Linked DNA regions of Mus musculus: regions 2 and 3 are each reported to be linked to region 1. Evidence: microRNA targets listed by miRTarBase, many of them from high-throughput screens and not tested one by one. Region 1 holds a microRNA gene; each other region holds the end of a gene's coding sequence. Distances are between the middles of the regions.
What was found. The annotated mature microRNA mmu-miR-30b-5p reads UGUAAACAUCCUACACUCAGCU and lies in region 1 at 4,822-4,843, shown strand. An mRNA with a match to its seed (bases 2 to 7 or 8) in the 3' UTR can be bound and repressed. Matches are read on the target gene's strand: a 7mer-m8 pairs with bases 2 to 8, a 7mer-A1 pairs with bases 2 to 7 and ends in A, and an 8mer does both.

Region 2: the mRNA of Mtdh is a reported target of mmu-miR-30b-5p. Seed matches in the 3' UTR shown: 8mer at 623-630, 8mer at 881-888, 7mer-A1 at 1,160-1,166 and 8mer at 2,144-2,151.
Region 3: the mRNA of Tomm70a is a reported target of mmu-miR-30b-5p. Seed matches in the 3' UTR shown: 7mer-A1 at 2,464-2,470.

The regions. Positions count from the first base shown.
Region 1 is chr15:68,334,437-68,342,311 of GRCm38, reverse strand. It overlaps Mir30b (microRNA 30b), which reads left to right and starts at 4,802; the gene lies at 4,802-4,897. It overlaps Mir30d (microRNA 30d), which reads left to right and starts at 1,023; the gene lies at 1,023-1,104.
Region 2 is chr15:34,140,166-34,147,904 of GRCm38, forward strand. It overlaps Mtdh (metadherin), which reads left to right. Exons shown (of 12, transcript NM_026002.5): 12 at 527-3,372. The coding sequence ends at 597. Among named protein-coding and RNA genes, the nearest start is that of Gm38594, 22 kb to the right of the region's middle.
Region 3 is chr16:57,151,509-57,159,383 of GRCm38, forward strand. Tomm70a (translocase of outer mitochondrial membrane 70A) reads left to right here. Exons shown (of 12, transcript NM_138599.5): 12 at 1,075-3,022. The coding sequence ends at 1,228. Nit2 (nitrilase family, member 2) reads right to left here. Exons shown (of 10, transcript NM_023175.1): 9 at 5,976-6,031; 10 at 5,157-5,658. The coding sequence ends at 5,567. Among named protein-coding and RNA genes, the nearest start is that of Nit2, 12 kb to the right of the region's middle.

The DNA of each region.
Region 1 (7,875 bases):
AGATGGCATTGCGACAAAAATCCCTTCATAACTCTAAAGAAAAGATTATCTGGCAAACTCTTCTTAATTGTTTATAAAATATAAACTAAAGACAAAGGGAAAAGTTGTTTAAAGAAAGTTGTAATAATGTACTTGGGTACACCAGTACACCAATGTTACAGGGCATTTTCAGTGGTTAGAATCTTTTACTTTGTAGTATGTATTTAGGAAGTTTGTAATGTTTTAGATTTGCATTAGCTTGTTGAATGTTTATTCTTGTGTGGTGTAGATGCTTGTGTATGACTGTATTTCTTAGAAATCACTGGCTTTTTGTAAACTTAATTGCTTCAATAGACTTTAATTTTTTAAGTTAATTTATATGTCTCAGATTAAAGTTAATCTATAAAGTACAAATTTACTATTATCACTTAATCTTTCTTTTCTCTTTCAGGAAACTAATAGAAGAAACAAAAGCAAAATGTTTCGGTGTTGTTTTGTAAGCAAAGCCAAGGCGGGTATTGTTCCTCTTCTTACCCACTTAGTTCATTTCCATGGCCCACATTCCTAACCTAGTTCAGCTAAGGATAGGGAGGAAGATATTAGAATCTTTCTCAGCATAGAGTTACTGCCAGCAAAACTTGTGTCTAAATTAAGACAGTTTGGTTAATGAGAAACTTCAATTCTAATAGTACTATCACTTAGGACTGTCTGGGAAAACTGAGATGTATGGTCAATCTACTTTTTAGATTGTTATTTATTATTAATTTTGAAATTCTGGATTTGTGGAGAAGAAAGAAAACATATACATCTGGTAGAAAAATGTGTCCATGTGGAGTAACATAGAAAAGTTTGTATTGAATCTTTTCTAATTAGATAATTCAAGAGACATTACTATCTTCCCTTATTAACTAGTATTGTTTACTTTATTGTTTGTCTTTTCCCCCCAAGATGTCACAGTTGTCATTCAGCTCCGCAGTTGTGAAAGTCGGTAGCGGAAGCAATGACTGACCATTTGCTCTGTTCCTTTGTAGCTTGCTGTCAGAAAGTCTGTGTCTGTAAACATCCCCGACTGGAAGCTGTAAGCCACAGCCAAGCTTTCAGTCAGATGTTTGCTGCTACTGGCTCTTCGAATGCATCTTTTGGACAATCTGGCCTAAGGATTGGAGCTGAGGATGCTGAGAAATGCCTGGGATGCATCAGAAATCTTGAGGAGCATTCATTTACTGCTTGCTTCTGCTGGCAGCTTCTAATGTTGGGAGCTGACTAAACATGCTTCTTCTGGCCTTAGAGGATCTGTCTAAAACAAGTTTTAATACTGTTTTTGCCGTGTCAGTACAAGTTTATCCTTTATACCTTTTTCAAATAGGCTAGAGTTTAACTTCCTAACAATCCTGAAAACCAACTTTCTTCCCTATAAACTCTGTAGGTTATTCATGTCTACCACCCACCCAGCAGTCTACAACCTAGGAATTTCAGGTTTCCCTGTACTTAATTTGTATGTAAATGTTTGCTTCCTCCTCCTGTGATGAAACTAATCTTAATCAGAGCGTTCTTCTCAGTCTGGAAATCCCAAACCACTAGACCTCTTCACAACATCTGCTAATGGTTCTGTATGCCCTTGTGGATTAAACTAAGCTACCTGATAGCTTTAGGTTATTGCTTGGCTCCCAGCTGCCTTGGGAGTAGTTGTATTGTTTTCCATTTTTATTTCTCTCCACAATACTAAATAATCTAGGCTTTCTATCATAGACAAAAATTATTGTGAACCAGTGTAATTTCATAACTTACTGAGGTTTTTGATTGATTGGGTTTGGTTTTTGGTTTTGGTTGTTTTTTTTTTTTTTTTTAACTTTTACAATGTTTTCTCACTTACATTTTTCTTTGGGTTACTATTAGCTTTATTTCTTAAGACGTTTGTTTGCTTGTTTGTTTGTTTATTTGTTTGTTTGAGAGAGGGTTTCACTGTGTAGCTCTAGTTGGCCTGTAACTCCTAGAGATCCACCAGCTTTCTAGAGATCCACCAGCTTTCTGCCCGCTTAATGCTGGCATTAAAGGTACACACCACTATACCCAGCAGACATTATTTTCGTTACTATTAAGCTGAGTTAGGTTCAGTTTAGACTTAAAACAGAAGATACAGTTCCTGCCAATCTGATTTCTTATATGCTTCTCCTGGATTAGATTGTAGCCTTTCTGGAGACATGGATATTATGTCTTTATAATTCTGCGTTTTATACCATATGTATAAAATGTGTATATTGATATACAGTACTCTAATAATGATTTTATTCTAATAGTATATTTCCATTTACTTGTTTATTGGTGCTGGAGTTTGAACCTAGTGTTCTTGAACATGCTAAGCAAGCGACCTACTGCTGAGTTGCATTTCCAGTTTTTATTATGGATCCATTTAAGTACTACTTTGTTAGAAAGGTAGTGTGCAAGACTAATTTAAGAGAAGAGCTTGGTTGATCATTTTTGGACAGAGATATTGCTAGGAGCCCATAAAGTTCTCTGTGCCAAGGTAGAGTGTGATGTGTCTTCTGTTAATAGAATTATTTTGTTTGGCCAGGTGGCATTGGTTATTTTCCATAAAACCTTGATGTGTAAGTTAAAATTCAATGGCATGGATAAAAACTACATGGTTTACTTATTTAAAAATTATTTGAAGTGTTTTTTTAAATGGTAAGTCAAATCTAAGCTAAAAGAGGAGGAGTCATTATGCACAAAGCTACCATCCTCTGCTTACCTAGTCTAGTTATCCCTGGATGCTTCAGGGTTAATGCTAGTCTAGTGTGAAACATTTGTTGTGTATTATTCTGCCCTAATGAAAGAAAATCAGAGACCATGTCCGCTTGCGTCCTCAATGTTCTTGGTTCTATGTATTTAAGTACAGCCTTTTCGTCATCTGCAGATGACTTATTTATGTTTTAACTTAAAAACACCACAAACTTCATGTTGGCCTGCACCATTGACAGTTGAATGTTGAGCCATGAAAATTGGGTTGTCTTTCTTTTCCAATAAACTTAAAACAGATTGTTTTCTTGGCCTTTAACTTAGGTTTTCAGGAGAAAATGTGTAAATTTTGGTACAGTTTTAAAAATCTCAGAAATTTATTTACTATTGTATGTTTGTTTATTTTGGTCCAACGAATACTAAATGTCGAGGTAGTTCTCAGCCATTGTACAAATGATATTATTCCTCAGTGTATGATTTAGGAGTTAATTTTTAAGCAGACAACTATAAGTATATAAAGTCTGAGTTAATACATTCTACAAATCTATTTCAGAAATATTCATAGAAAAAAGATACATTTTGGTTGAGTCCTCATTGTCTCCATGGTCTCAAGTCTCTCTCTGCACAACAATAGTCTTGGTGTAGTTGAGAAAGGACCATAAACCTCTAACCCAGAACATATTCACTGTTGCATTAGCAGGGTCCAACTTGGATTTTGTTACAACTGCATTCATTGGATTACTGTTCTGATATTTATTGTGCATGCTAAGTTTTTGAAAAACAGGTTTAGTTTTATTTCCTGAGTTTATGCACCTTTTAAACTTATTCTGTCTTAGATTGTTTGCCTAGGCTGGTTGGCGAGGGTGAACTGTAAGGTACAGGTTTTGAGCTTGTCAACTTTTGTCAGTAGTACATTATGCACACCCTGATTATTGGACAGTCACTGCTGCCAGTGCTTTAGCTTCCCAATGTACTTAGGAAAAACAGCTTTCAAATACTACTGTGCATCACAATTACAGTGAGCTTACTAAAACACAGACTGCAGGACCCCAAAAAGAGTTCCATCCCTAGTAAGTCTGGGATAGAGCTTAGGAATCTGCTTTATTTCCTAAGTTTCTATTGTTGCTCTAGAACTAAAATCCAGAGCACTCAAATTATAGGTGTGTGTCACCATGCCAAACCCTAAAGTTTGATTGCAAAAAAGGACTGGCCCACCCCAAAGAATTAAATGTGTCTACAAAAAACAGCAGGAAATCAGACAAGCAAACTGTAATTGTAGTGAAAACAGGAAAAAGCAACATGTTTAAAGGGGAGAAAGGAGTTGGAGGTGGGGATAGATTAGTTTTGAGAATGCTGCTCCAGGAAAACAGGAGATTCCTGAGGTGATGGCGTATCTTTGAAATGCCAGGAAGTTTTAGTTTGCTGACAGTGTTATATGTAATTTTATTTCCTAATTTAAGGACTTCTTCCCTGATGAAAGTATTCCAAGAGTAACTTTTAATGTTTAGTAAAGGAATTTGGTGATTTTTTTTTTTAATTAAATCAGGAACACAGAAAGGGGTAGATGTCCTTGTGCTACCCCTTGCTACCATGTTTTAAATAATGGCCCATGGTAGAGATATGGGAAAGCCATGCCTGTGGTGCAAGGACCTGGGTGTTAAGGAAGAATAGGGGATTGGTACACCGTATTGCCCATCAAATGGGCTCCTATAAATGGAGGTGCAGTTGTTTAGAGAGAGGGAAAGGGTGGAGAAAGTTGAATGCTGTCAGAACAGTAAGTTGCCTTTAGGTGGGAAAAGCTATAGAATTCCTGTGTTCTTGCCATACGTGTGTGTGTGTGTGTGTGTGTGTGTGTGAGAGAGAGAGAGAGAGAGAGAGAGAGAGAGAGAGAGAGCATGAAAGAGAGAACGATAAATGTTTGCTGTTTCTGTGGATTCTATACTTACTCTGAAGATATCTTTCAAGTTGATTTTGTCCTCATGTAGATCACTGTGCCTAATTTTTTTTTCAACAGATTCTGCAAAATTGTCTGAGCCTCAAGTAAAAAACCAAGTATAAACATAGTAAAGAGTTCTCAAGTCTCTCTCTAAGCCAAGTTTCAGTTCATGTAAACATCCTACACTCAGCTGTCATACATGCGTTGGCTGGGATGTGGATGTTTACGTCAGCTGTCTTGGAGTATCCACCAGTTAACATATTGATACATGACTTAAGTGGCATTACAGGAGTATATCACCATGCCCAGCTAAAGGGCACTTATTATAAATACTGTTTATATTTAGGTTTTCAGTAAATACTTGCTGTACTATTTAAAATAGATACTTGTTTATCTTAATATAGATGATACCAATATTTTGATTCAGAAGTAGTGTAAATCTTACATATCACTGTAATTTGTTGCTAAATAGCCTTAAGCCTAGCTTCAGGTTCTATAATAATTAAGGAAAGTATTAATTTTCCTGGTCTCCACTTCTTTGTCAGCTGAATTGCATTGTCATAGTACCTGACAGGATTGTTGATGAAGTGAGTCGATGTCAGTTGAATGTTCTTGACATACGGTAGTTATCATTATTGTTACTATTTTAAGATTTTTTAATCCATTACCCTTTTCACAGACCTGATTGGTCTAACTGCTACTTTTATATTTGTACCAGGCAGACAGGTTGATCAATGTAATAGAATTGAAGACTCAGAAATAAAACCACACACTTATGGACACTTGATATTTGAAAAAGAAGCCAAAAAATATACAGTGGAAAAAAGAAAGCATCTTCAATAAATGGTACTGGTCTAACTGGCAGTTAGTATGTAGAAAAATGAAAATAGATCCATATTTGTCACCTGGCACAAAGCTCAAGTCCAAGTGGATCAAGGACCTCAACATAAAACCAGATTCACTGACTCTAATAGAAAAGAAAGTGGGAAAGAGCCTCAAGCTCATTGGCACTGGGCTGGGGAGGTGGGGGTGGGTATTTCCTAAATAGAACTCCAATGGCTCAGACTCTAAGATCAAGAATTAATAAATGGAACGTCATGAAACTTCTCAGCTTCTGTAAGGCAAAGGATGTAGTCAGTTAATCAAATTGGCAACCTATAGATTGAGGAAAAAAATCTTCACTAACACCACATCCCATAGAGGCCTAATATCCAAAATATAGAAAGAACTCAAGAAGCAAAAACCCAAACAACCGAATCAAAAAATGGGGTATAGAGAGAGCTAAACAGAGAATTCACAACAGAAAAATCTCGAATGGCCAAGAAGTACTTTTAAAAATGTTCAAAGTCCTTAGTCATCAGGGAAATGCAAATCAAATGACCCTGAGATTATTTACACTAATCATAATGGCTAAGACCAAAAACTCAGGTGACAGCTCATGTTGGCAAGGATGTGGAGAAAGAGGAACAATCCTCCATTGCTGGTGGAATTGCAAACTGGTACAACCATTTTGAATATCAATCTGGAGGTTTCTCAGAAAATTGGAAATAGATCTTTCTGAATACCCAGCTATACCACTCTTGGGCTTATACCCAAAAGGTGCCCCACTATACCACATGGGCACTTGCTCCACTATGTTCATAGCAACCTTATCTGTGATAGCTAGAAGCTGGAAACAACCCAGATGCACCACAACTGAAGAATGGATACAGAAAATGTGGGTCATTTACACAATTGAATATTATTTAGCTATTAGCAAGGACATCATGAGTTTTGCAGGTAAATGTATAGAACTAGAAAATACTCTGACTGAGAGAACCTAGACCCCAAAGGACATGCATGATATGTACTCACTAATAAGTGGATATTAGCCAAAAAAAAGTACAGAATACCCAGAATACAATCCATAGAGAAGGTTAACAAGCAGAAGGGCCCATGAGGACACTCACTTGGGAGGGAGAAGAAAGCCATCAAGGGAAGCAAAGGGAGGGAGGAGGGATCTGGGGAGGGGAGGGGAAAGGGGGAACATGATCAGATATAGGGGTGGTAGAAACAGGAGAGAAGCCCTGAGGGCCAGCAGAATAAATGGAGATATGCAACCTTGAGGGGGGGAGTGGGGGGGGGAACCCTCTAGAAAGTAGCAGAGACCTGGGAGGTGAGATACTCTCAGAACTTAAAAGGAGGGACCTTAGATGAAATGTCCAACAGTGGGGAGAGGGAACTTGTAGAGTCTACCTCTAGTAGAAAGACAGGGCATCAAGTGAAGGGATGGGGTTGCCATCTCACAGTCAAAAACTCTGACCCAGAATTCTTCCTGTCTAAAAGAACTGCAGGGACAAAAATGGAGAAGAGACTGAGTGAAAGGTGGTCCAGTGACCAGCCCAACTTGGGCTCCACCTCAAGGCGAGGTTCCAAGACCTGACACTATTACTGATGCTATGGTGTGCTCACAGACAAGAGCCTAGCATGGCTGTCCTCTGAGGCCCAAGAAGCAGCTGATTGAGACAGAAGCAAATACTTACCCAACCAATGGACTGTGATTGAATTAGGGAAAGGCTGGAAGAAGCTGAGGAGGGCGACTCCATAGGAAGACAGCAGTCTCAATTAACCCAGACCCCTGAGATCTCTCAGACACTGAGCCACCAATAAGGCAGCATACAGTAGCTGGTCTGAGGCCCCCCCAACCCATAAAGCAGTCGGGCCTCAGTGGGAGAAGACTGGCCTAACCTGGAGAGACTTGAGGCTCCAAGAAGTGGGGAAGCCTAATAGGGAGTGGGGTGGGGGTGTGGAGGAGTTGAGGGGAGGGACATCCTCTTGGAGTTGGGAGAGGAGTAGGATGAGGAACTGTGGCAGGGTAGACCTGGAGGTGGGTAGCACCTGGACTGTAAAGAAGTAAAAGTAACCTTGCAAATTCAGTATTTAGCAAATTAATAAAGAAAAAACCTCAAGTGTCTCGTTTATTTGAACTTTGTCAGATGCTTACATTGTTTTAAAATTTATGTGTACTTTAACAAATTATAAAGGATCCCAAAGAGATGCAACCTCTGAGTAGCTTTATAAAGTATCAAATTAAGTGTATGTAGGAATTGACCATTCAATTCACCTTTTAACTTTAATGGAACTTCTTTCATATATCAGAGATGAAAAAATCGCACACCTGTGGTTTATACTACCAAATGACACTATATGGTGTAGTCTTCACCCTGTTGTTTTCTTCTTTATTC
Region 2 (7,739 bases), 34 Mb from region 1:
ATCCCAAGGAGCCAGCTTAAGCAACATAAGGCTGTCCCCTCTCAAAAAGAGGCAGGAGGGAAGAAAAGAAAAAGAAAAAGCAGATTCTGTAGGTTGCCATCAGTTCAGTGTCAGCAGTTACAATTAATACCCTGGGCTGTAAAAGAAGGGAGGCAGAGAATAGCTAACTTGAAAATATCCAAGACTGGAAGACTTATTAAACAATAAAATGTTAACATTAGTAGAGTTTTTTCATCAGTGTTACTTTTTGGGTTTTGGGGGCGGGTGTTTTGTTTTATGTTTCATTTTTTTTGTTGTTGTTTTGAGACAGGGTCTCTGTTTGTAGCCTTATCTGTCCTGGAACTTGGTGGATGGACCAAGCTGGCCTTGAACTAATCTACCTGCCTCCCGAGTGTGGGGACTAAAGGCATGCACCACCACTACCTGGCACCATAGTTGTTACTTTTATATTGTTGATATATACTGGTTATCCTCCTTACATTTTTTTTCTCTCCTCACCTTCTCCTTCCCTTTTTTTCCCATTTAGCCAAGTCTGAAACTAACTGGGAATCTCCAAAACAAATAAAAAAGAAGAAAAAGGCCAGACGGGAAACGTGAATTTTTTTTTCCTGAATTGGACATGTGTTTACAAACACTGTCTTGAAGATTATGCTGTTTATGCAATAATTTGTGAACATGTACAGAGTTTTATATAAATTTAAACCAATTTTTAAAACAAAACTGAACACAACCACCATAAAATGGAATCAAAGGAAAGTTAATTTATGAAATAAAGAGGTCAACAGAATACACAGTGCTGGAAGACACTTGGGAGAGTCTTTTCAATTGAACGAGAATGATCGTAATTTAAGACTATTATCCTGGTTTTACAACAGTTACCTGTTTACAACAGACTGTGCCCTGTCTCCTCTGCAGCTGAGGAATAATGAATGGATTCTGATTAGAGAGAAGGCTGCCGTGAGGCCAGTAGGCAAGTCCTTGGATCTTATGCACGACCTTAGACCATTTGAATCTGTTTTATGCTTAAATCAAAGTGCTTTGATCAAATGTATAATCTGCCATATCTTTACATATTTGTTGTAGCAGTTTGTATTAAAAGAATCACAAGTGCAAATTAAAAGGTCATTTATCATTTATTTAACTAAACTGTCTTGGTTTAGTTTACAGTTCTTTAAAAGTTCTAAATTAAAACATTAAAAAATGCAATTGACAGACACTTGTATGACTTACAAAGTTATTTTTGATAGTCTTAACATTACTTGAATTATTCAAAATAACAGTATATTTTAAATTAAGAAAGGTAAATATATTATTTGTTTGATACATTAAGACTGAGACTAACAATGCTCTTGTTTATGATTTGAAAAGTTTTCAGGCAAATCCAACTTAGTGTTTTTCCTTTCCCTAGCAATTTTCCAGTGTCAACTCTTAGTTGCTAGTAATTTTTTTACCTTAAAAATGAAGTAATTCGCAACTTTTGAGCATATGACGGAGAATGCAAAAGTAGTCAGACAGCTTTAATTGATATTGTGGAGACCTCCGGTTATCAGGAATACATTTTTTTACTGCCTTAACCTCCTGTAGTGAGTAGAATATGCATCAGTTTCTTGAAGGGGATTCGTGTTTTTATAAGAATTTTCATGTAACTATTGCAATTGTGGTTAAAAACAGAAAGGAACATTTTCTGCTTGAAACTGTGTTGATTTGAATGACGTATGATCTGTCACCATTTTCAGGCACTGTGTGATCCCTAGGAAAGTGGCAGGCCTCTCTGTAACTGTTAATAGTGCATGCTCGGCCATGTACACTGTAAATAGCCTTTACCAAACGTGTTTGACAAGGACCATAATTAACATCACTTTAGTAAATTGTGATTTTTTTAAAAAAAGCCATGATTTATTGATGTGAGTGGCTTGTTTTCATGTGGCGCCAGAAATGAACCTGTTTAAAAGCTATAACCAATGGTACTGATCTATCCATTAAATACTGTCCTTAAACTGTAGTTTAATAGTATTGTCAACTAGGAAAGCTAAAATGGTTTTTGTTCTGTTGAAGACTGGCCTTATTAATGGACAGCTTTCCTCAGAAGTGATTAACAACTTTTTTATTGGGTGTTAACATCTGTTTCAAGAACATGGCAGTATGTTTACATGTCGTCAGAAGTTTTCTTTGAATGGAATTTCTAAATTAATTTACTTGTTTAAATAAATTCAGAACTGGGTAGCATTGTTTTTATTTGCTTCACTATTGAGGTGAATAAGAGCTGATGTGCCACAAATGGAGCCTTCAGATGGCTGCTTTGAGCTTCGTGTTCCCTCAGGGGATGCCAAGATATGTCTCAAGGAGAGATTAATGAGGGGTTTGTAATTACAGAGTGTGCCAAGGTCAGTGCTCACAAGTTTAATTGAACTCTCTCAACTCTACCTCACTGTTCCTTTTCCTTATAATTCTCTGGGCTAGGTCAAATCAGAAACTTTATTTTTCGGTTCAGTATCTCCCGATTCAATCACTTGTAGGAGGTGGTAACTACACTTAGCAGTAAGAATATCACCTTTTTGAAGAGATGTGTATTATGGGAGTGGAAGCACAGCGATACACTGGGTAGGTCAGTGTGGAAGTCGCCTCTGTGCCTTCCTTCTCGCTGGCTTGTGAGCCAGGCCCCCCTCCCCCCCAACCCCCACGCCGGTAGAAGGAGGCAGGTATATGAGTCAAAATCCAGTTCTCTTAAAATCGTTGCTCTTTACCTCTCTATAGATCTTTGTGTGGCAGGGCAGTGATTTTTTTTTTTTTTTTTTTGTCACTGAACAGAGGAACTGGCTTCTGTCATCAACTCAGAAAACTCTGATGCCACCTGTTTCCCTGAAATAGGCTCTCTGAAAAGCCTTTCTGTTGTGGAGCAGGGCGTGGCCATGTCAGAGTTCTCCAACTGCATTATACCTATACCCTAAATTGAGAAACAAACAGTTGAGAGAGTCCAAAAATAAAAGTTGAAATATCATTGATGTAATTACCATGTTTCATTTGTGCATGCATTTTATTGGGGATGGGAGGTTGGAATAATTTATCCAAATCTAATGGTATTATTTCATAGGCTAATCCAGTTTGTATTTGAGTTAAAGATCCCAGAGTGTAGTAATTAATTGCAGCGTTTGGTTTTTCTTAATTAAAAGTAGTCCTCTATTAATATAGTGTGAAATATCAAAATTTAGGATTTAAGTTTAAGGTCTAATGGCTATTTTAAAGTTTTTCTGTAAATTCTTTGCACAAACTAGAATTGGAATTGCTTTCAAAAGACTTGGGGAATGAAAATATGTCATGTGTAAGATGCACTGAGTGTTGTAAATAAAACAGACCATTTTTGTTTTGTTTAAATTGTTACATTCTCTGTGGGAAGGGACTTTGTCCTTTTGTTGTGGTCTAATAAGATATCACGCCTTTGGTTCATGGATTTTACTTTTCCTTTCATTAAAATCATCATTTCAGGCTTTGCCACCAACAAACCAAATATTCAAAGTTACAAACCTCTGAGAATGAGCATGTGCAGCTGGGCAGAGTTATACATTCCTTTAATTCCAGCACTCAGTAGGCAGAGACAGGCAGATCTCTGAAAGTCTCTACACTGTGAGTTCCGGGACATAGTGAGACCCTGTCTGGGGCGTGAAGGGTGGTCAAGAGAAAGAGAATGAGCACTTATGATAGTGTCCTCCATGGGAATCAGCCATAAGTCATCTTAGTAAGTATGACTTTTTTTTTTTTTAGGTTAAAGGAATTAAACTAGAATTTGACGTGCATTAGTTGGTATGTGGTAGATTAACTGCATTGCCAAACAGTAGTGTAGTGACTTATGATAGTTTGCTTCTATTGTATATAAAAATCTGGGTAGATGCAGCGACTTAACATGTGAGTGGGGGGACATTTAGGGGCAACAGGGGCTTGCAAGGAGTTGGTACTGGGAGAAGAGGGGCTGGTATTAGGTTGTAAAGTAAATAAATACTTTCTGTAAGTATTAAAAAATAAATCTGGGGGAGATGGCTCAATCCTTAAAGTGTGGTAGATAACTAAATCCCACATTTAGAAAACCTGGATGTATTAGTGTGAACATGTAATCTCTGTAATAGGGAGGCTTGCCGGCAGCCAGTCTAATCAAATTGTTGAGTTACAAGGTCAGAGAGACCCTGCCTTTATAAAGGTATGAAGAGTTATCTAAGAGGACAGCTGTGTTAATCCCTGGTTTACACACATGCACACCTGCACAAACAAATACATACTCATAACTGGTCGGGGATGTAACCCAGGCCTAGTACACAGTACAGCAGCGAGGATTCTTCTATGTTGATTCCTGGTTGGAAACAGATGGTTTTCACTTCACAATTCTTGTCAGCACCTGAGCCACTTGGAAAAAGCATTTCCCAGAGAATGTTCATAGACATCACTCTGGAGACTTAATTTGCAAAAGGTGCTTGGTCCCATCAGCCATAAAGAATGGGGTGGTAGTGGCCAGGAGTAGCTCTTACTCAAGGTGCCTGTTGACCAGATTCATATTTTATGCTTCTGTTACTGAGGAAGAGACTTGGTATCAGATGCTGCTAGTCTCTAACACAGTCTCTCTGCTGCACCAAAGCACTGATGAGGTCGATTTAGCTTTTCCAGCTGTGCAGAAATTGAAGGCTCTTGGATGCTCTCAATTTCTTTTTTTTTCCCCCCTTGAATCTCACTATGTATCTCCTGCTGTCTTAAATCTCACTCAGGACACCAGGCTTGCCATCTGCCTCTGTCTGCCTTCTAAGTGCTGGGGTTAAAGGCATGCACCACTACCATTAATGGTGTGACCCACACGGTTGGCCCAATTTTCTGTGTAGTAGAGTCCAGAAAGAATTTTTGCTGCTCTGTAACAGCTTGAGAGCTGGGGAGTTGGCTTCAGGTAAGATTGCTCATTGCACAAGCATGACTGACTCCCAGCACTGTAGTGTGAGAAGGAGACGGACACAGTAAGAACAGGGGCCTTGCTGGTGGCAGCCTTGCTGCAAGCTCAGGAAGAGTCCCAGTGTCCTACTCTGGCTTGCACATGTTCATGCCACCACACTAAATAATTGATTATTTACCACACGCTGCAAGTGTTGACTAAATTTTAATGTAAGACATTTTTAAACAAGACAGTGATTTCTAACTCTAGCATCAAGGCATGCATGTGATTTCCCATTGTGGGATTGGTTTTGTTGTTATTGGAGGGAGGATTGGTTTTGTTTATTTTCTGTCTGGTGTTGTGGTTTGGTTTGGTTTGGTTTGGTTTGGTTTGGTTTGGTTTGGTTTGGTTTGGTTTGGTGTTGGATTTTCGAGACAGTTTTTATGTGTAGTTTTGACTGACCTTGAAACTTGCTCTGTAGACCAGGCTGTCCTCAAACTTACAGAAAACCACCTGCCTCTGCCTTCTAAGTCCTGGAATTAAAGGCATACACCACCACTGCCTGGCTTGTGTTTTATTACATTATGTGTTTGGGTACACATGTACTGTGGCACTCATGTGGAGGTTAGAGGACAACTTTCTGGAGATTCTTCTTTCAGGCTTGGGAGCAAGCACTTTACCACAGAATCATCTTGCTGGTCCAGCCATTTTATGTTTGTGTGGTTTCCTTTTCATATGTACCAAAGTATTCAAATTTAATATATGCAACACTTCGAGAAACTTTAAAGCATAATAAATCTACATCTAAACCCACCAGTGTTCTTAAGTGAAATAGTGACAGCATGGGAACATCAGAGGTGAGCTTGACTATTCAGTACTCTCAAATGCCTACCTTGGAAGAAATGACTAAGGGTCCATAGACACTTTTAAGATACTGAACTGATAGCTCCTGGAAAAGTTTCTGAATGTGCATAGATAAAATGGCTAAATCTGAATGATGTTGCCTGGAGGTTAGAGCACAACTGTATGTGATAGAGCCAAGCATAAAGCTCTTCTAGGGGAGCAGCAAGTGCCTCACTTAAAGTGAGGTTCTATGAGGTGTATTATTGAAGATCTGACAAATATCAAAGGGAGTTTGTGGTCATCTTTAGCTATAGAGAGGTTTTGAGGCCAACATGGGCTCTGTAAGGTCCTGCCTGAAAACAAAAATGAAAGAAAAAATTTGTAGGTTTCTATATCATGGATATAGGCAAATATATTCTAACTACAACCCTAAATCTAATTTAACTTTTGACAGGAACAACTTAGCTACAGAAAAATTAAGATGTGACACAACCAAAAATAAACCAATGCAAACAATGGCAGGTGGCTTGCTTTTCGGAGAGGTAAAGAGAGAATACGGACTTTCTCTGGGACAGACTTTTCTAATACAATGCTTACTGGTCAGTCCTGGAATCAGTGTGAAGTTGGAATTTAGCTCAGTGGTAAGATGCTGGCCTGGTAATCACAAGGCCCTCAGTTCTCTTTGCCACCACCACAGGAATGGTAGGGAGTTGACTTCACAGGAATTTCACACACACCAATAAACCGGGAACTCCCTGAACACATAAATAACTCACTGTATTTGTAAGCCTAGTTTTAAATATATATAACTATATATAGAGCTATAAAATGGGACCAAGCTCACTGACTTGCTGCAAGGGAGACAAATCCATGTATCAGTCCAAATTCTAAGTTCAAACATTCAGCAGTTAAGGTCCCTTATAGCTCTTCCAGAGGACTGGAATTTGGTTCCCAGGCAGGGAGACCCACAATTTGCAAGGACTCCAGCTCCAGCTGATCCATTGGCTTCCTTCAGGACTTCCCAAGCAAGATATTTTGAAGCAATATCTCATGTAGCCCAGGCTACTGCTCCCCTCTCCCTCTCCATCCCCACATCTAACAAAATCTCTTAAGTCTCCAAGTAGATAGTTACAGGTAACTGATTAAGAGGAAGAACTGGAGGAGTGTCTGTGACAGGTTTGTCTTTGCTATTAAGCCCTGGATATCTGTTTGGAACAACAGGTTAGGCTTAAGAGGCGTATATAGGAAATCTAGAGACATGACTCAGTGGTTTAGAATGCATGCTGCTCTGCAGAAGACCTGAGTTAAGTTCCCAGCACCCAGGATAAGCCTCTCACAACCACCTGCAATTCCAGCTCCTGTGTGTGCCTGTGTGTTCGCATACACACAAAATCTTTAACATTAGAAATAAATCTGGAAACACCACGAGGGATCACTTTGGCCATGAGCAGTTTCTCCTTCAAGTCAGGCCCTGAGTGCTGTTTTTCAAACAGGAACCTGCAGGTGGCACATCACCAGGTAGACATGCATAGGCAAGCATTGGAAGTCGTTCCTTGCCTGCATTCCAGTGGTTTGCTATCCAAGGTTGTTTCTTTGTATATTTTTCTCTTAAATGGGTCTTTGCTTTTCTCTTGTTCTAATTTCTGACATCATCCAGTACACACATTTGTGTACTGCTTTCTTATTTTCTCTCTCTGGCAACCAAACATGATACCCCCTCAGAATATAACACTTCATATTTTTTATTTATGTGCATGTATATATGCCACATGTGTATAGGTACACTCAGAGGCCAGAAGAGGAAACCAGATCTCCTATAGCTGGAGTAATAGGCAGCTGTGAGCCACCCTATGTGGTTGTTTCTGAAAGCAGCAGACATTTTTGACTGATGAGCATCATCTCTACCTCCCTCCCTCCCCCTATATAATACTAACATGATACAGGCACATGCCTGTAATCCCAGCACTGGGAGATGGAGGTAGGACAGTGTTCA
Region 3 (7,875 bases), not on the chromosome of region 1:
ATACTATAGGAAGTTAAATATGGGCCACCTTTAGTGATACTGAGTTAACTAGGCTTGACTTTGATCTTAGTTGCAGGATTACACGCATTTAGTTAAGTATTATGCACATGCTTGCATACATAGATAACACTACTTCCCTTAATCAGTTGTTTCTTAGTAACTATATAACTTAGTCACTCTTAAATGTAAGAGGAAAGTTTTATTAGCTATAGCATGTTGATCCATTTATTCAAAAACAGATAGCAATTACTAACCTTTGTACTTAGCTGCTTGAACTGAAAGATACGTACGAATGAGCTAGTAAAGTCGTCTCCCTATGTATATGGGCCCAAGAGAACTGTGAGGAATATTGGGAATGAAGTATTTAGTTCTTAGGTGTAGAGTATACAATACTATATTTGAAGTGGGCCCTCAAAGGTAGGGATTTGAACAGAGTTAAACAGAGACAATAACCTGAGGCTCTTTGTGATCAGGGTTGACATGGTCAGGGAACTGGGATTGACCTTTGACTGCATGGCATTTGGGGTGAGAGATAAGGTAGTAAGAGTATGGAGTCAGTCCTTTAAGGGGCAAGCGTTTGAGGGCTACTAATGCTCTGTATTGCCAGAAGCCTCATATTTGACCAGAAACATACAGGCTTAGGAACCAGGAAAATTAGGGTTTTTAAGTAACCAACTTAGTTACCCTAGTCTTCCCATATTTAACAAAGGATTCAAGATAATGTAGGCAGAATATGCTGCCATGATGGCCTCAGTGAGAGAGGATGTGCCTACCCCTGCAGACGTGACGTGCCAGGGTGGACGGATATTCACAGGGGCTTCCCCTTCTCAGAGGAGAAGGGGAGAGGGAGTAGGGGAAGAGCTGTTGGAGGAGGGACTGGGAGGAGAGGAGGAGATGAATATATTGGGGTGTAAGGTGGATTCATTAGTGTTTTCAGTATGCTGTGCTAGGCCTTTTTATTATGAAAGAAACGTTTTATTAGAATTACAATCGAAGGCTTCATGCAGCACAGTTAAACTTTATTGGTTATTAAGAACTGCTTGTTGAAGAATCTTTGAATTTTTGCTCTTTTAGAGGAAACATGGAGAAAGCCATTGACATGTTCAACAAAGCTATCAACTTGGCCAAGTCGGAAATGGAGATGGCTCATCTGTATTCACTTTGTGATGCTGCCCATGCCCAGACAGAAGTAGCAAAGAAATACGGATTAAAACCGCCGACATTATAAACACAGGGGAAACAGACTGACTCTTTTCAAAGAAGTTTACCCCCTCTTCAACTCAACCCTGAAGACACTGTCATAAATTGTTGAACGGTGGAACTTAGTAGTCCCTTTGTGATGTTGTCATTCATTACATCTGTTTCATGTTTAGGTGTAGTGGGCGTGGCTGTTGAAGGAAGTTTGCAGTCTTGCAGCTTTTATTCCCTGTGCAACAAAAGCTTAGAACCTGTTAAAGGGATATTAAAACAAAGTTGTAGAATACAAACAGTAATTGGCCATGCAAATAAAAACTTTGATTTGTTGATTTGTTTTTTTTTTTTAATATTGGGGTGGGGATTATGTTCTGAATGATTTTGTTTTTTTATAGCTGTTTGTATAATATGTGAGTATTTTATAGTATGTTAGTTTTTAACATAGTAAGTGCTGTAAAATATACTTCTTTTGTATTCAATTAATCCTTTTTAATTTTTTTTGAAGGATGAAAAGCTTCAATGTGGATTTCAGTAAAATTGAAAGACTTTAAGCTATTGTCAGCATGCACAGTGCCTCTGATTCTGTAGAACTTTAGTAAATTATGCAGAAGCAAAATATTCTCATTGATACTTGTACAGGAAGACTTAATGAGGGACTGAACAAGGCAGGTAAGATGAACAAGACATGTATATACTTGGCCGTGCCTATTCCATAGTAAGTACTATTTAATAGTATGCTTTTAAATGAAAGTGGGTGTATGTGAGCAACCCACGTACAGGTGGAGTACATGTGATGATATATAGGAGTATTTAATTAGCTTCAATTTTCTAGTGACAGAAATTTGGTAAAGGTTCTAAAGGATGTCAGTCCTGAAGCCAGGACATACTTGTTTGAAATGGAAACCTCAGTGGTGTAGCTGTGGCTGCTAACTTAGGGATTTGAGCCAGTATTTCCAGAGCTGTCCAATACATAGAGTACTTCTGTATTGAGGTGACCTTCACCTCTAAGGACGGATGGCCCACATCCACATCTCCAGGGATGCTGACAGTTGGTTCTGTTCATTTTGATCTGTACCTCATCCTCTTTTGACTCTCTAAGCTGTTTCTCTTCCTCACTTTCACAGCCTATCCTTTTACTTACTTATCTGCTGGAGTTTTCTGGTTGGGGAGGGATGTGTTCTTACTGAGTCTGTTTCCAAGATCCAGGACAGGTTGAGGTTTATTTAAGTAAAATGATTTTTTAAAAAAGCAAGCCTGCTTATAATTATAGTTTACATTGTTGAGAGTAAAGGAGCATTTTACACTCTTATTTTAAAAGGGTGCTTTATCCCACTGAAACCAAAATGATTTTGTCTACAGATGCTGTCTTTTTAGAAAATATTAGAAATGACTCCTCTTATAAAGTCAGTTTTTGGACGATGCTGGTTAGCCTATGGCTGATATCATTAGGAACAATTAATGTAATTTAAGGTGACTGGGATAATGGAAAGTTGGAGAGATCTTCATTTTGTTGTGAAATAATTCTCCAATGATGATAACCTTAAATACAGAAATGTCCTACATCTCTGAATGTGACCTCTTCGCTTAAAAGTTTTTTATTTGCATGGCTGTATTTACATTAATAGGGACATCTTCTACTCTTCTCCCTTCTTTCTTGGGGTAGGGTAGGAAACACTGAAGCATGTGCCGTTCAATACTGTCATTCCAGATACTCAAATGTTTTGCTTGTTGTGAACATGTTTGAAACTGCACTGAAAGCTGCATCTGTCTGTATCTTTACTTTTGTAAATGGCTTCACATGTAAATTCACAAAATAAATACTACATTCAAGCTTTTCTATCCATTTTTGAAACAGAAAGATAGGAAATTTGTTTGTTTTTTTAACTGAAACCCTCTTCAGTCAGTTTCTTGTTGATTCAAACTAACTTTGAAGATAGATATATACAAGGTTTTATTGGTGTGGTCATGAAATTTCCTGCGAGGATTCATTCTTTATCTGTGTCTTAGACTCAGCCTAGAAAGCCATCTGTCATATGTTATGATGGAGCTACGTTCTCCGTGCTGACTCCACACGGTAGTTTAATCATAGTCTCAACCATGGAGAGAACTTGAGAACTTAAGTAAGCTAAAGCCATAAACATCAGAGGACACAAAAGAGGACAACTTCAAAAGGAAATAAGGGAGAGCTGGAGAGGTTTGGTTCCCAGGACTTCATGTGGCAGCTCACAAGCTGCCTTTAACTCCCCGTAGGTCCAGTTCCAGGTGATCAGACACCTTCTGCCTCCTCAGGCAACACACACGGGCACACACACGGGCACACACACGGGCACACACACACACACGGGCAAAATAACTAAACATAAACAATCATTTTAAAGGAATAAAAATAATAAGTTGACCTTTGTGAAAATACAGTTTGTTCTTCAAATAATACTTTTTTAAAAAATAAAAATTAGTTGGCATGATGGAACAAGCCTATAATCTCAGTACTTAGGTGACAGAGATGGTAGAGTCACTTAGCAAGATAGAAAATGATGAAATTCTAAGAGAATAAATGAAGTTGCAGCTGTGGTAAGGAGAATGTTTAGCATTGAGATCTGGGCTTAATCCCCAGTGTGAGCTCTGGTAAATGTCATTTTCCCCCTTTAGAGCAGGAGACTGTGACAAAAAATGTACATCAAAATATATAAACAACTTATCATTTGAGGATAAAGCCATAAAAATATAGGCAAAAGTTATCAACTGATATTTTACCAAAGATACATGTGAAAAGATTAGTATGAGTGACTGATCAGTTTTTAATGTTTTATTGTGTGAAGTGTACATGTGGAGGGCAACTTTATAGAATCGGTCCCTTCCATCATAGGCTTTAAAGATTGAACTCGGGTTGTCAGGCCTACAGAGCAAAAGAGGCCTGCTTTTATCCTGAGCCATTTTACCAGCCCAAGAAATACTAAATCTACTGAGAAGAACCTGCTTATGGCATTGTGCCTATAATCCCAGCACAACGACTAGAACTCATACAGTTGTTGGCAGCACTGTCAAATGGTATGATCACTTTGGAAGCGATTTGATAGTGAAGTAGATATATGAGCCCACAACTCTACTGCTCCAGACATGAAAAGATTGTTTCTGACTCCTTCATTCAAAAGGCAGAAAGAACTCAAATTTCCATCAACAAGTAATACATCACTGATACACAGGTAAGATAAAAGTACTAGGTTATAATTCACTTTTTACATAACTCTAGAAAACTCAAAGCTCTCTGTTGATAAAGCTTATCAGTAGTTGAATAACTAGAGTTCTTAGAAGACTCTAGGGAGGGGCTGAAGAGATGGCCCAGTGTTCAAGAGTGCTTACTGCTCTGGGAGAGAACCTAAGTTCAGTTCCTGTCACCCACATTGGACAGCTTAGGAATACCTCTGACTGCAGCCCTGGGGAATTCCTTCTGACCTCAGCACCTGCACATACCCATGACACATACACAGACAAAAATAGTCCAAATGCTTATAAAGAAACTCCTGGTGGCAGTACAGATATTCACTTTCTTGACTGGTATTTCATAGATGAATGTGTGTGTGCTAAATCTTACTAAATCATATACTTCATTTTTATTTAATCACTGGCTTTTCTTACTCTTCTGTAAGTAACCATAATAATAGCCTATATGCTTTTATATATTGGAAAAGTTTTGATTTACCAGCATGGTATTGAACCAGCCATGTGCTAAACCAGTATTGTGTAGGTCACGGGTCCCAGCTGCACATCTATTCCTGTTTACAAGTGGCACATTCAGCTCTATTGGTTTTTTTGTGGACTTTTTGTTTTCTTTTGTCTTTATTGGTCTTTTGCTTGTTAATTTTGATTTTCATTTTATGGAGTTTTTGTTTGTTTTAGAAAGAAAAAGAACATAAATCTGGATGAGTGGAGATGAATTGGGAAAGAAGAAAAACATCAAAATATATTGTATGAAAACAATTTTTAATAAAAAGTTTTAAAAGTGTCATGTTGATGGGATATTAGCACCATGAAAATTAGTGTTCTGGTAAATGTACATTTTCTCAGACAGATGGGACCAGCCCACCACACATGGAAACAATGCTTAGAGGCTTCAGTTTTTAATTGTTCAAAAGGATCTTGGGACTGAAATGCCTAGGAACCATCAGACTAGTTAAGAGCTAGAACATTGTTACCAAGCACATTTTAATTAAAGATGAAACTTTTAATTAAAATAGGGGACCTTGTGGCACAGATCATTGATAGAATTAACATGAAATGGCCCTGTTCCCCCCTCCCTCCAAAAAAAAGAGATGTAGTAGAGTTGATCATCTGACAGAGCATCATCCTGTTGGTGACATTTTTGAAACAGATATCAAGGCTTCTTTGATTCCACTGTATAGAGGTCTGCTCGTTTCTGTTTTAAAATGGGGATTTGCTGCCGAATTTCAGCCAGCTTCTTCAGGTCTGCAAAAACAGGAACACACATGATTAATAATTTGCAACTACTTAACCAAGCAATTAAATTTTGTCCCCAGACCAAAGTCTCAGCAAGTGACCTAGGAACATTTGCCTTGTCTGGATGCTGGTGACCTGGAGTTGGTCCTGGGTCAGTTCAAACTAAACAAAACCTAGTGAGACAAAGCCCCAGAGCTCACCCTCAACACCAGGATATCACCAGGATAGAAGAGCAGCGCACAACGGAACCCTTCCAAGTCAGCCACAGACTGGCCTGAGAGCAGTGGGAGCCCCAGAAACCATAACCACAGCAGGGCAAAGCTTACCTATGTCTGAGTACAGGATTGTTTCCTCCGTGCCAGCTTTGGTTAGGACCTGCCCCCTGAAGAAAATCCAGAGAATGAATGGGGATTCGCCAACCTCAAGTTCTCTATATTTCCTCCTTGTGTACCAGGCCAAAAAAAGATTCTAAGATCTAAAATAAAAAAGTAGTATAAATTCTGGTTCTGTTATTTATGTTAAGAACGTGTGGCACATCATGTGGAAATAGGAGTCCTGTGAGGCTTGGTAAGGAAAGTGGGATATGTTTAATAAACTGCACACTCCTGGAAAGCCATAGCTCATTCATGATTATAAGTATCTGGGAACAGAGCTGCCAAGAGTCAACAGGAAAAAGCCCCTCCTAAGGAAGGTCTCCGTCTGTCCCTCATGTGCTCCCAACTGCAACCACATCTGAGGGTAATGAGGCCGGGCCTATACAGGGTCCAGATTTACAAGAACCCTCTACCTGTGTGGCTGAGATCCCTGGCTCCCTATGCTTTGGAGTTTCGGATTGGAGGACAAGACTTTACCCAGTGTCTGAATAACAAGAGTGTGCTGACAGGAGCAACAGCCCTTCAAACGACCAGGTGAAGGCTATTCTGGAAAACTTTGCAGTAACCAGCCTTTTGGCCCAGTGCAGGGCCTCAATAATATATCTATCTGGAGAAATGATTAATTTCCAAATATGTCAAAACAAACCATCTGGCACAATTAACTGACTGTACTTATCAGACAGCCACAGACTCTCAGCAAGGATGAAATACCAATACCATTAATTTCATTTGATTGAATCCTAATTCCCACCCATCTGTCCTGGCAAATTCAAAGTTCTTTCTCTAATGTCACTCCCACCCAGACACCGACCACCCTAAAGTCATAGGCTGAAAGGCCTCAAAAGCCTTCAGGGAAAAAAAAAAAGGAAGCGCATATAACACACAAAAATTACTCTGCAACAGCCACTCTAGGTAGCCACCAGGAGAACTGGCTGTGGAGCCTTTCACCAACATCTAGATAGGAATGTGACAGAATCCAGCCTAACCCACTTCTCCAATGCCCATAAACCCTGGTGTGTGCAACTACTGAGAATCATACACACAGGGGACACTCCTTTCTAGGACCCTTTATTTATTCTGAAATTGTAGAAATACTGTGTGTGTATACACAAGTAGCCTGGACCAAAGCCAACTTTTGAAGTCCAAAGTTCTAGTAAGGACATGTGTCTGACTGAGATTCTATATGTGAATGTCAAATTACACATACAGTTGCCAACCGTGTGATATGTCCATGGAGAAACATCTGTGTGATGTTCTGTGTTCTCAGTGGTAAAATTCTTTGCCGTTTCACGGGGGACAGTCAGTTTCTTCTAACCCTATGGTTCTCAACTTTGCTAATGGTATGACCCTCATGGTGTGGTGACCCCACCACCACCACCACCACAAAATTATGGTTTATGGCTGCTACCTCATAACTGAAATTTTGCTACGATTATGAATCACGTAAATATATGATATGCAGGATATCTGATGTGTGGAGGAGTTGTGACGCACAGCATGAGAACCACTGCTTTAACCCAGTCCCCCATCTCTAATCATTACACGCGGAGTAACACTCTTGCCTTGCTTCTCATTCCTGCCCTTGAACCAGTCACTCAGCCTAAATTTTAGCCAGATGCAAACTAAGAATTCTGAGATCTCTTCCTAAAAGCAACCGCTTGCCTACGCTGCTGCCTTGTTTATTTTGTATGACTACCAGGACTACCTAGACAAGCAAAGATGACAACACTTGAGCAAGCAGGATCCGCTTTCTTATCATGTGGGTTGCAAGTAAAAAGCTTCCCTTATGCTTGTCCGGGTGTATGGATGAAAGGGTAGGAATTGTAGAAAAATGACCCTGTATCATCTTTCA